Oryctolagus cuniculus: one gene and its partner. The protein of the gene in region 1 interacts with the protein of each later gene in a biochemical or structural test. Links are inferred from orthologs where the notes say so. Each region holds a gene or a part of one and is shown on either strand. Other genes may lie near its edges. The genes, in order: ATF4 and CREBZF.

What was found.
Region 2: the proteins of ATF4 (region 1) and CREBZF form a complex in vitro, tested with the Homo sapiens proteins (2 studies listed by IntAct, with this or other methods). The link is inferred for Oryctolagus cuniculus from reciprocal best matches to the Homo sapiens genes ATF4 and CREBZF.

What each region holds. Positions count from the first base shown.
Region 1 is NC_091442.1:115,754,866-115,758,901, reverse strand, and holds ATF4 (cyclic AMP-dependent transcription factor ATF-4), read right to left. Parts: upstream 2,687-4,036; 5' UTR 2,483-2,686; intron 2,035-2,482; 5' UTR 1,934-2,034; coding exon 1,717-1,933; intron 1,628-1,716; coding exon 819-1,627; 3' UTR 767-818; downstream 1-766. UniProt on the Homo sapiens protein: Transcription factor that binds the cAMP response element (CRE) (consensus: 5'-GTGACGT[AC][AG]-3') and displays two biological functions, as regulator of metabolic and redox processes under normal cellular conditions, and as master transcription factor during integrated stress response (ISR).
Region 2 is NC_091432.1:76,750,667-76,754,182, reverse strand, and holds CREBZF (CREB/ATF bZIP transcription factor), read left to right. Parts: upstream 1-1,462; 5' UTR 1,463-1,615; coding exon 1,616-2,710; 3' UTR 2,711-2,918; downstream 2,919-3,516.

The DNA of each region.
Region 1 (4,036 bases):
ATGCCAGGTCAGGCCCTGCCAACCCTGCCTCTGGCCAGCTTGTGCCGGGGAGGAGGTACACGGGAGACCCAGATCTGCGACCCAGCTGTTAGTATTTCCCTGTGTGAAAACATCTGACCTAGAGACAGAAGGAAACTCCAAGGTCACACGGCCAAGGAGTGGAAAAGCCAGCGTGGTTCCAGAACCTCCTAACACACGGGGGACCTCTGGGCGGCTCCCTGAGATTGAGACAAGGGAGACTCATGTGGAGGATTCGGGGAATCTGACAATGGGTCCCGGTCCCAGACTGTGGCTGTCCCTAACGGCTGGCCCAGAACAGCGGGGTCTGGCCCCCCAGCTCAGGGCCAGTGCTGGGGCATAGCAGGTGAAGCAGCCTGCAGTGCCAGAACCCCATGTGGGTGCCAGTTCGAATCCCAGCTGCTGCAGCTCTCTGCTGTGGTGAGTGCTTGGGCCCCTGCATCTGTCAGCTCCAGGCTTCTGCTGCAGCCCAGCCCTGGCTGCCGTGGCCATTGGGTGTGTGAGCCAGCAGATGGAGGACCGTCTCCAACTCTGCCTTCGAATAGACAGCTCTCCCATGATCTGTGTGTGTGCAGGCTGGAGCCAGTGACCACCCCCACACACACACACAGGAACACCGAACAAGGAAGTTGCAGCCACTCATGGAGTGAGTGCCCGCCCCAGACCAGATCCCACCATCCCGCGTGGGACTCTTGTTGCCCGCCCCACCACGCCCAGAGGGTGTGAGCCACAGGACAACTCCCAGGAATGCTTTCACTACAAAATAATTTATTAACAGCGGAGCCTCCTGTGCGTGCGCCCTAGGCGGGGACCCTCCTCCTGCCGCGGGCCGCCCGCACCTCCTCCAGCAGGTCCTTGAGGTACTGGATCTCCTTGGCCAGGCCGTCGGCCCTCTCCCGCAGGGCCGCGTTGCGCTCCTCCAGCCCCCGGCACTCGCCCGCCAGCGCCTCCTGCTCCGCCCGCTTCTTCTGCCGGTAGCGCGTGGCGGCCGTCTTGTTCTGCTCCATCTTCTTGAGCTTCTTCTCCAGCTTCTCGCCCTTCACGCGCGCCGCCGCGGCCGCCGCAGGCTCGTAGGGCTTGGGGCGGGCCGGGGCGGGGGGGCCCCTGTGCGGGGAGCCCCTGGGGGTGGGGGCGGAGGGGCTGCGCTGCGGGGAGCCCGGGCAGGACTCGGGGCTCATGCAGACGCCGCTGTCGTTGTCGGAGGGGCTGTCCTCCTCCTTGACGCCCTGCGGGACCACGGGGCCCAGGCCGGGCGACTCGGGCTTCCGGTCCCCGTCCGCGATGTCCACCTCGCTGCCCAGCTCCAAGCTGAACGACTCATCCGGGGAGGCGGCCGCGACCCCCAGCGACAGGGGCAGGGGCTGCAGGAAGGTGCAGGGGGCGACCTGCGGCAGGCTCGCGGGGAGGGGGCCGAGCGGGCTCCCTGCCTGGGGCGGCTCCTTGAGCGCGTCCAGGGCCAGGGGGGCGAAGAGGTCGCACGAGTCGTCCAGCGTGGCCAGCAGCTCGTCGGGCACGGCCTCCAGGTCGTCCAAGCTCAGCAGGGCGTCGAAGTCGAACTCCTTGAGGTCCACTTTCTCCAACATCCAGTCCGTCCCGGAGAAGGCGTCCTCTGCGGGGGCGCGAGCGAGGGCGCGTGAGGCCGGCGCCCCCCCCCCGACACGGGCGCCCCCTCCCACCCCCACCCCCCGCGGCGCTCACCCTTGCCGTCGGCGGGGGCGCCCAGCAGCCCGTCCGCCGCCAGCCATTCCGAGGAGCCCGCCGCAGCCTTGTCGCCGGGGGGCCCGGGAGGCTTCCAGGGCGTGGCCACCTCCAGGTAGTCGTCCAGGAGCCCCAGGCCCTCCTCAGCCCCCAAAGCCGCCTGGTCGAAGGGGGACGCCAAGTCCCCCGCCAACCCCGCGCTGTGCAGGAAGCTCATGTCGGCCGTGTCGCGGGGCTGCGCTGGAACCGGGGCAGGGGCTCAGCTCGAAGGTGTCTCTGTCCGTGACAGCAACGCTGCTGCTGGGTGCCGTGAGGAGCCTGCGGGCGAGCGGCAGGGGCGCCATCAGGGCGGGGGCCGGCCGGGCGGCAGGTGCACAGCGGCCATGGCCGCCCCCGCCGGGGCCGGCGCCCGGCCCGCCCGCCCGGCCCCGCCCCGTGACTCACCCCGCGCCGCCTCCCGCCGCCATCTTGGCCGCCGCCACGTTTCGCGGGGCGGCCACCGCGACCCCCGCCGGCGCAGAGCGGGGGCCGGGGCTCCGAGGACAGCGCGCCCCCACCTCCCCGGGGACGCGGGCGCCGGGCCGCGCTCTCCCGACCCCGCCCAAGGACACGCAAGCAGGAACCACGCGTCCCCGGCGCTCGTAAAACCGCTTCCGCCTCGGCGACGCGGCCCCGACCCCCGGCCGCAGGCCGCGCCCAAGCCCAGGCCCAGGCCCAGGGCCCGCAGACGCCGGGCCCCGGCCCCCTCGCCCGGCCCGGTACTCACGCCATGGCTTAAGCCGCTGGGGGTTGCCGCTGCAGAGCCTGGTGCTGCTGCCGCCGCTGCAAAGGCCAACGCTGCCGCAGGCACTGCTGCCTCTAATACGCCATGGTGGCCGCGGCCCTGCGGGACGGGAGGAGGAAGGGCACGGCTCGCAAGAGATCTACATCGACGGGCGGGCGCAGCGGTAATGGCGGCGGCGCGCGGCCCGCCGGGCTTTTATAGACTTGGTCGCCTCCGAGCCGCATCACAGGACGCATCCTTCCGCCGCGGCCATGTGACCCGCGCCTCCTGCCCACTCCCCGGCGTCCCCACCACTTTCCTCCCCCGAGCTTTTATGTCCGAGGCGTAGCCATGTACAGAAAAGTAGTTTACTTTCAAGATCTCACGTCGGGAAAAAGGCGCACTACTTTACAAGGCGTCCAAGATCAAAGAGTCTCGTCCTTTCCCCCTCGGATGCCCGGATGCGCGGAGGGATCTCTCTCAGGGGCGGGGCGTGAAGAGCCTTTCATTCCAAGGAGGCTTTTTATTGTGAAGGCCGAGGCCGCCCGGCTATCGCGCGAGACGCTGGCGGGGAGCGCGCGTCGAGATGATTGGCTCAGGCCTGAGGAGTCATATATACCTTGAGCTCCTATTGGCTCAGGGCCCGAGGGGGGCGGGCCACTCGGCGAAGGGGCCCGGGTCTGCGCGGGAAAGGGCGGGAGCGGCCTGGCGTGCAGCCGTGCCTTTGGTTGTAGCCTCGGCGGCCGCAGCGGTAGAAATCAGCGCCCAGCGGCCTCCGAGCGAGCCCGCCGCGAGCGGGCCCGGGCCTCGGGGCCGGGGAGCCTGCCGCCGTCCGGGGCCGGCTCTGCGTCCTCCCGCTGACCTCCGCGAGCCGCTGGCCAGCCTGCGTGTCCGCGGCGCCCTTTCTGCTGCAGGGCGTCGCTGCGGGGACGCCTCTGGCCTCTGCAGGCTCAGCCCCGCTGCGACCCCGGGTGGTTCCCACGAGCTCCGGACAAGGCCCGGTGGCCCTGCGGGGGACAGGAGTTCCCGGGGAGCCGGGCCCCGGCCCGCAGAGCTCCACTCCCGCGTCCCTTCCGCGAGCGCTGCTGGCTGGACAGACAACCTGCCCTGGGGCCAGGGCCACCCTTCCCAGGGTGCACGGGCAGCCCCGGCGCCCCCGTCTGTTGGCGGACACTGGCCGTGCTGGGGCCCGGCCCGCGCGCGGGACGCGCTCCCGCCACGCTAACTCGGGGTCCCCACTCCCGGCTACCCCTGTGGGGTCACTCTGCTTCCTCAGGGGGCTCCTCCCGGAACTGACCGGCGGCCGAGGCCTAGGGCGCGGCACTCTGCCCGGGGGTCAGGAGGAAGGCGGTGGGGGTGGGACTCCCGCGCCGCCACCGCGACCCCGCATCCATCCCGGGAGTCCCGCCCGCTCCCTGCTGATGCGCCCGGGAGAGCCGTGCTTGCGCCCCTGCGCCCACGTGGGCGACCCGGCGGAGTTCCAGCTCTTGGCCATCTGGGGAACGAACCAGATGGAAGAACTCCTAATTTTTGCCTTTCAAGTAAAGAAGCAAGTTT
Region 2 (3,516 bases), on another chromosome or scaffold:
ACCTTCCCTTTCCTGCTCAACAGGAAGACTGGAGCCTCGGCTAGTTGCTCCGGCTTTATACAGTGGTGTTTCTGTGGCATAGGGGAGCCAGCAGGAAGGAAAACTAACTCTAGAAGGAAATACCATTCCACTGGGTTTTGGTATTGGCTTAGCCGCCAGAAGTGTCCCATTAATGACCTATGCCACCCATCCGTAATGAAGCAGGATACCAACATTTCTTCCTAGTACTTAGGATCCCCAACTCCTGAAAACCCCTCTGAATTGTTGTGAAGTTTTAGTGTCTCAGAAATTTTTTCTAATAAAAATGATTAAAGTAATTCCTAGTTTAAAAAAAACCAGTCCTATAAAAGCAGCTATTGTTGAGACTGCCACAATATTGACTCCCATAGAGACCTGTAAGAGCTATTAAGTAGATAAGTGATTAAAGAATTCATACACACCTTATTTATGAACAAAGTAAGGAAAGTTTGTTTTCTCTCTTTTTATTTGTACTACCAGGAAGCCTAATCTGTTTTTAGTTCAACTTGGGTAACTATGTAAGATATTGAATCCATACTACTTCAATATTAATCTTTTCCACCGCTGGAATTCTTTACCTGGTTATTTCATCTATGCTTTCATTGGTCTTATTTTTAAAGAAAACTTGAATTGCTTTGTTTCACTGGATTATAGCATAATTAAATACTGTTTCAAATCTCAAATCCCTTGAGGGGCCAGAGGAATAACACATGAAAAGACACATCCAGAATGTTCAAGATAACTGACCTCGTCTCTTCAAAAAGCCAATGTTAAGAAAAAGTAGAGTGTGGAGGGAACAGTTGTAGTTTGAGAAGTGGAAATGGAAAAAATAAATAAAACCCTAAAACAACCAAATGCAATAAGTGACTGCTTGAATCTGAGCTCGGAAGAAAGTATCTGCTAGAAAAGATTATTTTGAAACTGAGGACATCTGAATATGTCCCGAATATTAATAATATTAGTAAATGAATGGCACTCTTCTCAGGAATTGATACCTGCATTATGATTACGAAAGAGAATGTATTTTTAGAGATACGAAACGAATATGCAGGGTGGGGCGTTCTGTCTGCAATTTGGGAATGATTCAGCACCAACATAATTGCTTACGAACAGTTACATATAAGAAGAAAATGTTACTTGTAAAGTGCTGAAGTTTTGAGTCTGGGTATCGGGTAACATTGATTTCGGGGTGAAAATCTGGGTTTTATTTATTTATTTTGCCGCTGTTACTATGACATCACTAAATTACCAGAATTACTGCTACTCCAAAGCACCCTAAACTCTCGCGATATCACTGCTTGGTGGCGCGCGAAAGGCGGTGGGAGGGGCTGTTGGAGGAGGACCGACTTCCGTCCAGGCCGTTGTCTGGGTGGCGCGGCCGAGTCATCGCCGGGCCTCGCCGCTTCCATCTTCCGTTCCTGGCCCCCGCACCGGTGCGGGGGGTCCATCAGCCAAGCCAGGCGGCAGGCGACTGAAATTTACCTTCCATTTCATTTCGCCCGGCGCCCCGGCTGCCCGCGCTGGGGCCTGGGGCCTTTGGGGCCCGCGAGGCCCAGTCTGAGGGGCCGGGGCCTACGCTGGCCCGTCGCTGGGCCCCATGAGGCATAGCCTGACCAAGCTGCTGGCAGCGTCGGGCAGCGACTCCCCCACCCGCAGCGAGAGCCCGGCGCCGGCTGCGACCTGCTCGCTGCCCCCGGACGTGACTCGGGCGGCGGTGGCGGCAGCGTCGGCAGCGGCGGAGGAGGAGACGGCGGCGGCCGGATCTCCCGGCCGCCAGCAGCCGCACGGCGACGCTGACGAGCTGGAGGCCGGGCGGGGGAGCCGCGGCGGCCTGGCCGTCCGCGCGCCCTCCCCCGAGGAGATGGAGGAAGAAGCGATTGCCAGCGTCCCCGGGGAAGAGACCGAGGACATGGACTTTCTGTCAGGGCTGGAACTGGCGGATCTCCTGGACCCTCGGCAGCCGGACTGGCACCTGGAGCCCGGGCTCAGCTCGCCTGGGCCTCTCTCCTCGTCCGGCGGAGGCTCGGATAGCGGCGGCCTTTGGAGAGGGGACGACGACGACGAGGCCGCGGCCGCTGAGATGCAGCGCTTCTCCGACCTACTGCAGAGGCTGTTAAACGGTATCGGAGGCTGCAGCAGCAGCAGTGACAGTGGCGGCGGCGAAAAGAGGCGGAGAAAGTCCCCGGGAGGCGGAGGCGGCGGCGGCAGTGGTGGCGGCGGCGGCAACGACAACACCCAGGCGGCGACAAAGAGTCCCCGGAAGGCGGCGGCGGCCGCTGCCCGTCTAAATCGGCTGAAGAAGAAGGAGTACGTGATGGGGCTGGAGAGTCGAGTCCGCGGTCTGGCAGCCGAGAACCAGGAGCTGCGGGCCGAGAATCGGGAGCTGAGCAAACGCGTGCAGGCACTGCAGGAGGAGAGTCGCTACCTACGGGCCGTCTTGGCCAACGAGACTGGACTGGCTCGCTTGCTGAGCCGGCTGAGCGGCGTGGGACTGCGGCTGACCACCTCGCTCTTCAGAGACTCGCCCGCCGGTGACCACGACTACGCGTTGCCCGTGGGAAAGCAGCAGCAGGACGTGCTGGAAGAGGACGACTCAGCGGGAGGAGTGTGTCTTCATGTGGACAAGGATAAGGTGTCGGTGGAGTTCTGCTCGGCGTGCGCTCGGAAGGCGTCGTCGTCTCTTAAAATGTAGGGTCAAGTAATCTGCTCTTTATCCGCGTTTACCCCTTTCAACTCCCTTACTCCATGTAAAACACCTTAGTGGGACATCTTCACTGGACACATTTCAGAGGAGGAAAAAAAGTAATATTGAGTCTTTAAGTGTTTAGCTAAAAGCATGAATGTGACACTGTAACCAACTCCTAATGATAACCTGTGACTATTAAATCTCTCTGACAGTTTCTTTTTTAGGTGATTTCCTTCCTGCCAGGCTCCGTTGTAGGGGTTACAGAACAGTCGTTCCCGCCTCACAACCTGGTAAGGATCCATCTCTTCACGTAACGCTCATGCTCTGCTGCTTAGTCTACTTTAATGGGCAACATCTCAATTTGTGTGTGTGTGATCTTTTTGTTTTTTCTTTTTTGGAAGGTGGGAGGGGAATCTAATTTGGGCCCTGTCCACCCTGGAAACAGACTTGTGCTGGTCAATAATGTATTTAAGATGCTTCTTCTGGTTGAAATAGCTGTTAATGTGTCCCCTTGTTCAGACTTGCGTGTACCTAGCTCTTCTGTCCCCAGTGTGGACATGGCCTTGGATGACATCGGTTCCAACTGTACACTGAAACCTGCTTATAGAGATACAGTTTGGAGACAGTGAAACAGGTGAAGTTGAATGGAAGTTCCGAGTTGTACAAGGTGCAAATTGGAATTCCAATTTTAATGCAACTTTTCAGAGGTTGACAAATAAGTATTTGGGGCATGCACATATGTAATAGTTATTTTGCTGGAGATGACAGAAATCTTTTAAATATTCAAGAATGCCTTTTAGGTTTTCAGTAGA